Nothobranchius furzeri: one gene and its partner. The protein of the gene in region 2 binds, or shares a complex with, the protein of the main gene of each other region. Links are inferred from orthologs where the notes say so. Each region holds a gene or a part of one and is shown on either strand. Other genes may lie near its edges.

What was found. Proteins that work in one complex are often made in the same cells at the same time.
Region 1: the proteins of ints2 (region 2) and ints6 are in contact, whole or in part, in a cryo-EM structure (PDB 8RBZ), measured with the Homo sapiens proteins. The link is inferred for Nothobranchius furzeri from reciprocal best matches to the Homo sapiens genes INTS2 and INTS6. Residues at the interface, in NP_065799.2 of Homo sapiens: Ile855, Asp856, Pro857, Leu858, His895, Arg923, Glu925, Leu926, Lys927, Ala929, Leu930, Ala932, Ala933, Gln934, Ser936, Ala937, Gln940, Ile941, Glu944, Asn1010, Lys1013, Leu1014, Phe1017, Gln1018, Gly1019, Tyr1020, Pro1021, Ile1046, Ala1047, Gln1048; in NP_036273.1 of Homo sapiens: Ile484, Val486, Arg487, Ser488, Arg489, Phe527, Gln528, Val529, Ala530, Leu531, Leu532, Asn533, Phe541, Arg542, Asn543, Ala544, Tyr545, Ile547, Arg549, Leu552, Leu553, Leu556, Met559, Arg560, Asn562, Leu563, Leu564, Lys565.

The regions. Positions count from the first base shown.
Region 1 is NC_091754.1:31,110,603-31,114,253, reverse strand, and holds the end of ints6 (integrator complex subunit 6), read right to left. Parts: intron 3,415-3,651; coding exon 3,288-3,414; intron 3,202-3,287; coding exon 3,059-3,201; intron 2,981-3,058; coding exon 2,791-2,980; intron 2,711-2,790; coding exon 2,333-2,710; intron 2,213-2,332; coding exon 2,119-2,212; intron 611-2,118; coding exon 517-610; 3' UTR 303-516; downstream 1-302. UniProt on the Homo sapiens protein: Component of the integrator complex, a multiprotein complex that terminates RNA polymerase II (Pol II) transcription in the promoter-proximal region of genes.
Region 2 is NC_091750.1:42,354,359-42,358,009, forward strand, and holds part of ints2 (integrator complex subunit 2), read right to left. Parts: intron 3,640-3,651; coding exon 3,535-3,639; intron 3,453-3,534; coding exon 3,288-3,452; intron 3,146-3,287; coding exon 2,944-3,145; intron 1-2,943. UniProt on the Homo sapiens protein: Component of the integrator complex, a multiprotein complex that terminates RNA polymerase II (Pol II) transcription in the promoter-proximal region of genes.

The sequences.
Region 1 (3,651 bases), on a different chromosome or scaffold from region 2:
AAGGGTTATGGAGAGGAAAATGATCAACGGATCCTTTTCGACCCCGAGTTATCAGAAAACAAGCACACACCTCTCAGACTGAACTCTTATTCTCCCGAACACGTGGTCACAAAAACTAAAGTTTTCAGGCTGCAGCTGCCCTCTGGTCCTCTCCACGAGAGTTTCGTCCTCTCTCCGTTTAGGAGATACTCGTTTAAGTAAAAGAAAACTGTGACCACGTGAGTTAGCGAGGAGAGGCTCAGGCAGCAGCTGCAGTCAAACGTCCAACAGAACATCTGGTTGCATAGGCTTCACCCGCAGCAGTCACCACTTCCTGTTCATTCTCGCAGCCATCTGAACCATCCTCCAGGGTCAGATCTGCCTTTGGTGATGGGTCAGCCTGGACCAACGCGGCCACCTTAAATGTTGGCGGGCTGGCTGAAGTGGCCGTGGCTCCTGGGCTGGATTCTGTCTCCTCAAGGGAACTTCGTGTTTGGGCTTTACGGGGGACGGGGGCGGGTTTGGGCTCAGCCGGTCTCAGAGCGAGTCCACGTGGTTCATGTTATTAGATCTGTTGTGGATTTCCTCAAGGAAGTTCTCCAGCTGCTCAATCAGAACGCGTTTCTTGAACCTTTGAAGAGAGGAAAAACAAAAGTCCTCCTTCAGTCACGGGTGAATAAACTTTCATATATTCTGACTTTTCCACGACGCGTTGTTCAATCTGTTCCATGTTTGCAGCTAGATATCGTTTTATTTTTTGACGAGGCGATGGCCATAGACATTAAATACGTCATCCTCTGCGAGCTTGCCAGAGAGCCCGCGTGTTTCGTATCTCCATAACAACGCAGACAGAGAAGTATAATCTAGGCTTTAGCGTCTGACGCGCTCCAGCTCCGTAGGAGGGAGGGACAAACATGTAGGAGGAGTCCTTAAAGATGGAAAATGTGTGACGGTTTGCAGATTCACGAACCTCCATGACTGGAGTCATTAAACGCTGCTTCGACTAGCGGTTAGCTCTTCAGTCCTGCTCTGTGACTCCAATTATGAAAATCATTTATTTATTTTACATAAACTAAAGCATCATTTATCAGTGTCTATGACCACATTCTTGTTTTTACCTGACGACGGTGCATCGCTGATAGTTTTAGGCAGAATATTTAAATTTTAACTGCGATGCACTAAAGAGCAAAACCATTGACTACACGTGTGTGCAGCACAATCACACTCATTTATATAGTTTATCAGCAAAAAAAATGTTGATTTGGAGTAACTTGCTCTTTAAAGAGCAAGTTACTCCAAATCAACATTTTTTTCCAATAAACTATATAAATGCATGTCTAATCGTGCTGCACACACGTGTAGTCAATGGTTTTGCACTTTAGTGCATCGCAGTTAAAATTTAAATATTCTGCCTAAAACTATCAGCGATGCACCGTCGTCAGGTAAAAATTCTGCACTGCATTTGAATTTAAATCTGCCGTCGCTATTGGCTAAGAGGTGCACTATGATGTTAGATGGTACATCATGATGTCACAATGTCGTGTGTGTGTGTGTGTGTATTTGTTAGCGGCTCCACCCTCTCGGTCTGCTAGGCAACAGCATTTGTTGCATTTTTCAAACAGGAAGTGGGAGTGGAGTTAGACTCTGGTAGGGGTTGACTTGCTTTTTAAATAAAATATGCAGAGAAACAGAGCTGAAGCGGACTTCCGGCATTGCCATGGAAACACGTAAACACTGAATGCTAACTAAATAGCGCCAGCTACACGGTTATAATCAGGCAACTGGCGGTCTCTATTTTAGTTCTGATAACTTTGTGGTCCTCGTAGGCATGAATAAATATCTCTCAGTCTGGGAGAAGAACGAGGCTCAGCCTTTCCCTTTATCATTTATCTAGCATCGATTAACGGGGGCTGCCTCCGGAAGTGCGTGAGCCTCGCTTGCCGCGCCTCGCTTGAATTAGAGAGGACTGAATCCACCCGAGCATCGTTCGTGGAGCCGACAAAGTAAACAGGTGCGCCATGTCAAGCAGAGATTTATCAGGAAAGCCTCGATGTTCTGAACTCACCTTCTGTAACACCCCCCCCCCCAATCTTTTTGCTCGTAGCTCATAAAATCACAGCAAATAAGAATTCCGAGTACCTGGCCGCCTCTTTGATGATGTTTTGGAGGAAGATGAGCCGCGTGTCCAGAGTTCCCTGGATTTGCTTCAGGAGAAGAAATATCTTCTCGTAGTCTGAAACAAACCAAGCAGAAGGAACAAACATCAGCTTGTACAGGTCAGAGTTTCAGGATTATTTAATCTCCCAGGAAGTGACTCAAACATCAGATTAACAGAAGTCTCTGGTCTACACACGTCTGCCAGGTTTCCTGATCTCCTTGGTGATGAGTGTCCTCAGCTCGTTGTTGACTTTTGTCGTCTCGGTGTGAATGTGCTTCTTCAGGGCGGATGGTGAGAGGAAGCGGGGGGGCGGGTCCTCTATCAGAGCCCTTTCCACCCCTCCCTCGAGGCTGGGCAGCAGCTCGCCAGCACGCTGCTGCCCGCTCTCCTCCTCCTCCTCATCGTCGTCCATGTGCCGAAGGACCTGAGCCTCATCAGAAGTGTGGTTCTCCTGAAGGTCTGCTGGTCCTGTGTGGAGGTCCATCTCCAAGTCAGAGCTGCTGTCTGACCCATAGTGGTTCTGGTTTAGGTGGTTAATGATCAGGTCAGGAGAACCGTCATTTATGTCCGTTTCTATAAAGCAAGGGATTGGAGAGATGGTTTAATTTCTGTGGTCTACTTCTGGAAGTCGTCAGGGTAGATTCTGGTCCTACCTGATGAGTGCCGGGGACTGGCAGAGGGCGATACCGGAGGGGTGTAGGCCCGGCCCAGACGCAGCAGAGGGGACATGCAGCGACGTCTCTTTGGACCCCCACCCGGCATGTTGATGTTGTTGTCTCCAGGTCGCTTGCCTTTGTTCTGAGGACCGGTCACAAACTCGTCCGCCTCATCGATCATCATTCCCTGTGTGAAAAATCGGGTCAGCATCACCTTTCTGGATCCAAACATCCACTTTATTCCAGGCGAATAGGCAGGACGTACCTTCTTGTCCAGTTTAAAGGGGTTTCCGAACGTGTGCAAACGTTTGGGCTGCTCAGGATCTGCATCTCGAAGTGGCTGGGGGGCAGCTTTGAGGAAGTCTTGGTAGTTTCCCATCTGGGCGATTGGCACACTGTGGAGCTGGTCTGGACACGTGGCATCAACGATCGCTAGTGACTTTTTGTTTTTCAGAAAATAGCAAAAATAAGTGAGGTGCAGAGAGCCTTCTTACCAGAGTCCTGTCCTCTTAGAGTGCAGACGCTGGTGTTGAGCAGGTTTCTCCTCATTCGGCTAAGCTGGTCGAGGAGGTGGCTCCGAGGGATGTCGTAGGGATTCCTGAAGCTCTGCGGCTTCAAGCCCTGAGAGCAGAAGGTAAAACAGAGGATGTGAGAAGAAACTTCCACACAAGCTCACAAAAACATGCAAACATCTGAGATCCACCCTCCTCTCTGCAGATTTCAGGGACCCAACCCAGAGAACTTAAAGACCACCTTACAAACATCGGTGTGTTTATGCTTGACGCATTTACTTTCCGCTTGGTGATGCGGCTCGCGGATGGAACGCGCTTCACAACTTGCAGCGTTTATGGTTCATGC
Region 2 (3,651 bases):
GTCAAACATACTTGGTGAAGAATGCACTAAACACAGATTTATTGCTCACAGATTGACTCTCTGATGTGAAGGGGTGGTTGGCAGCCAACTTAGACTAAGACTGAGGCCATTGTTTTTGACTCCAGAAATGTGTAACCCATGTGACTGACGCACCTGGAGGAAGCTCCTCAGTTAGTGGACTTTCCCCTTTGTTAACATCCATACATTCAGGCCATTAGAACTGATCTGCATGGATTTCTTGTCATTAGAACCAGATGGGCGTACCAAAGATATTCAAGTTATGACTGACCATGTCGCCAAGTACGCCATTGCTGTGCCAACACCGAACCAAAAGGCAAGAACAAGGCTAAATGTCTATGGGATAATTTCTTGGTCCACTATGGGTTCCCTGAAATCTTCAAAGCGACCAAGGCCCAGACTTTGAAACCAAGGTTATTAAAGATCTATGTCAGATGGTGGGTATTCACAAAACTCATACTACTCCATATCATCCCAGAGGAAACCCAGTAGAGCGTTTTAACAGGACCTTACTAGACATGCTTGGGACTTTGAATGATGAACAAAAACACCATTGGAAAGGGTATGTCAAACCCCTGGGACATGCCTATAACTGCACTAGAAACGATGCCACCGGTTATTCCCCTTATGAACTCATGTTTGGCTGCCAGCCTAGACTCCCTGTGGATCTGGCGTTTGGGTTGCCGATGGGTAACGGTCCTGTAAATCACTCCCAATACATCCAGGAGCTGAAAGCCCATTTGGAGGAAGGATACCGGTTGGCCAAGAACAATGTTCAAAAATCGATGGATAGTAACAGATTCAACCAACATGTTACACCCCGAGAACTGAATGAGGGAGACAGAGTTCTGGTGAAGAACGTTCGGAAAAGGGGACGACAAAAGCTAGCAGACAAGTGGGAGTCGACGGTGTACATTGTGGTAAAGAAAGCCAGCAACTTACCTGTGTATACTGTAAAGCCTGAAAGTAAAGCTACCCCACTCAGGACTCTGCACAGAGACCTCCTCCTTCCCTGTGGGTTCCTGTTTCCACCTGAGCCATCACAAGCTGTGAGGGAGGGCAGGAGGGCTACCATTGTCTCTTCTTCTTCAGCTAATCCTGAGACTACAGTCAATGAGTTGGATGATCAAGGGGTCTTGATACCTATTTCTGCTCCAATGGAGCCACAGCGATTCACCACCGTCATTGTTGTCCCTGTTCAACCATCTGTCTCCCCTGATGTCCCATTGACTGTGCCTTGTCCTTTACCCACCGTGTTATCAGATCCCGGGACTGCTGTAAAGGAGCTGGTGACAGGGGAGTTTCCAGTGGAAACAGATGCAGTGGAGGAGGGTCAGGGAGGAGTTGTCATGGAAACTGCATCCCTTGAGAATTCTACATCAGATAAAAGGTCCTCTCCAATTAAAACTTATGAACCAGTTATTGCCACCTTGGAACGGGATCTGATAGTGCCTGCAGACCATGACAGTCCTGAAATTGAACCGACACTTCGTTGATCCACTCGTTCCAGGCAACCCACCAGAACGGCTACAGTACTCCCTCCCTGGGAAACCCCCGCTGGACAGTGTCCAAAATCTGCTCCACGGCCTGAGTTCAGCCTTTACGGCCATCCTGCAGGACAAGAGCTATATGTTACCTGGTTTGAGTTAGAGGACGGACCTGTGGAAAAGGGGGGAGAGTGTAACCCATGTGATTGACGCATCTGGAGGGAGCTCCCCAGTTTGTGGACTTTCCCCTTTAAGAGGAATGCTGACCTGCTAATGAGCCAGCTGTTGTTGCTCCAGGTGGAGTGATGAATCACAGTCACTGTTGCTTCAGGGTTTGGTCTTCTCTGCCAGTCTTCAGTGCTTGCTAAAACCTTCAATTCAGCTTACCTGAGGGTGCAGTTGATTCACTGTTCTGAGAGGAAGAAACTGAACCGTACCATTTTAAAAGGGTAGCACTTTGGCAAAGTTACAGGAGTGTTGGTAAGCTGCACTTTCATCTTCCTCAGTTACCGATGGAGCCAATTTACTTGTTTTATTTTCTAATGTTATACTTACCGTCATAGATCCTCCCTTTTTGCCTAATCGAGGCCAAAGTTTGTGTATGTGTTTCTACTCATCGGTGAGTAAACATATTCATTTATCTACACTGATTAGCTGCATGATCCAGTGTTGCTTGGAATATTTTTAGTGTCTTGAGATGTTGGACAGAATGTGGTTTATTGTTTTCACATAAGTCCTGTCCAAAGATATTTGACCTAAGCACTTGTTTCCTGTGTGGGGAAGCTCAGCTGAGCAATTAATCAAATTGAGTGAAACAAACATAATTACGTAATTAAGAAAAATGTGAATGTGGACCTCCTGGAAATTCTGTGGAGAACCTGAATGATTTGTGATATTTTGTACATATGTAAATATGTAGAATTAATAATTTCCCTTTCTGGCTTTTGTTTTAGGTCAGGTTTTTGTGTGGATTTATTTTCCTTTTCCCTTTACATTCAGTTCATCCCAATCACCGTCTTGAATTTTCCTTGGATGGCGAGCCACCCTTGAACCAATTGAACTGTGGAACCCTGGATTGATGTCACAAGGAAACGAGCCCTTGTTCATGCAGATGAAGTCTGAAACTCTTCAAGGAACTGATGGACGGTCTATTGGTTATAATGTTTTTTGTAAATATATCACTGCTTATTTGATGTAAACTGTTTCACCTTGTGAATATTCAAAATACACTTTGAATGAAAACCCCTCTTATCAGTTGACTTTTTGCCCATACTGGTTATTGACTCCTTTGTTGAACTTAGTTTTGGTTACTAGTTATTCCATCTACTGGTTATAAATCAGATTAGCGCAAGCTTTTGTCAAGGGGTTACAAATGTATTTATTGAAAATCCTCGGGCCGCTGCACTAAGAAACATCTCCTTGTATCCAGAGCACATACCTGCGGGGCATCACCGTGTTGAGGCCCATCCACAGCTTGTTGAGGGTCTGGATCAGGCGCCGAGGCACAGCGGGCTGCAGAAGCAGGGACATGCTGGCTGTGAGAGCCTCAGCATAGGGGATGAGGTCTCCAGGTGAGAGCAGCGTTAGATACTCCAGGATCCGCATGAGCCTGGGACTGCTGGAGGGCAACTTCTGGAAAGCTGGATTAGAGAAAACAGAACAGATCTGGACTCATCTTCTCTGAATATCAGTAGCTTTATATCCAATTCTTTAGTGTCTAAAATGAGTCACAACCAGTGGAAACAGCTCATTGAACCAGAGCTGATGCTGTTTCCGTCATACCCTGGTGAAGCTGGTTCTGGGTGTATCTGCGGGCAATGAAGGGAAGCATCATCCTCCTCAGCAGAGGCAAGGTACCAGTCACCTCCTCCTCACACACCCAGTCTTCCACCAGACACAGGTGGGGGTAGTTAGTGGCAAGTAGTCTTAGTAGAGCTGAGTGCAAACCTGAAACCACACAACGTTATTCAGATTTAGGTTCTTCTTTCTCATTTGAACCAACTAATGTGGGTGAGAGTTTTAACCTCACCCCCCAGCTCCTGCTGCAGCCCCTGGGCCTGGGTCACCAGGTACTTAATGGGGATTTGGTCCATCAGAGCTGCTGAGTAGGACTTTGGCTTCCTCTTCATTAGTGCTACAAAGACCA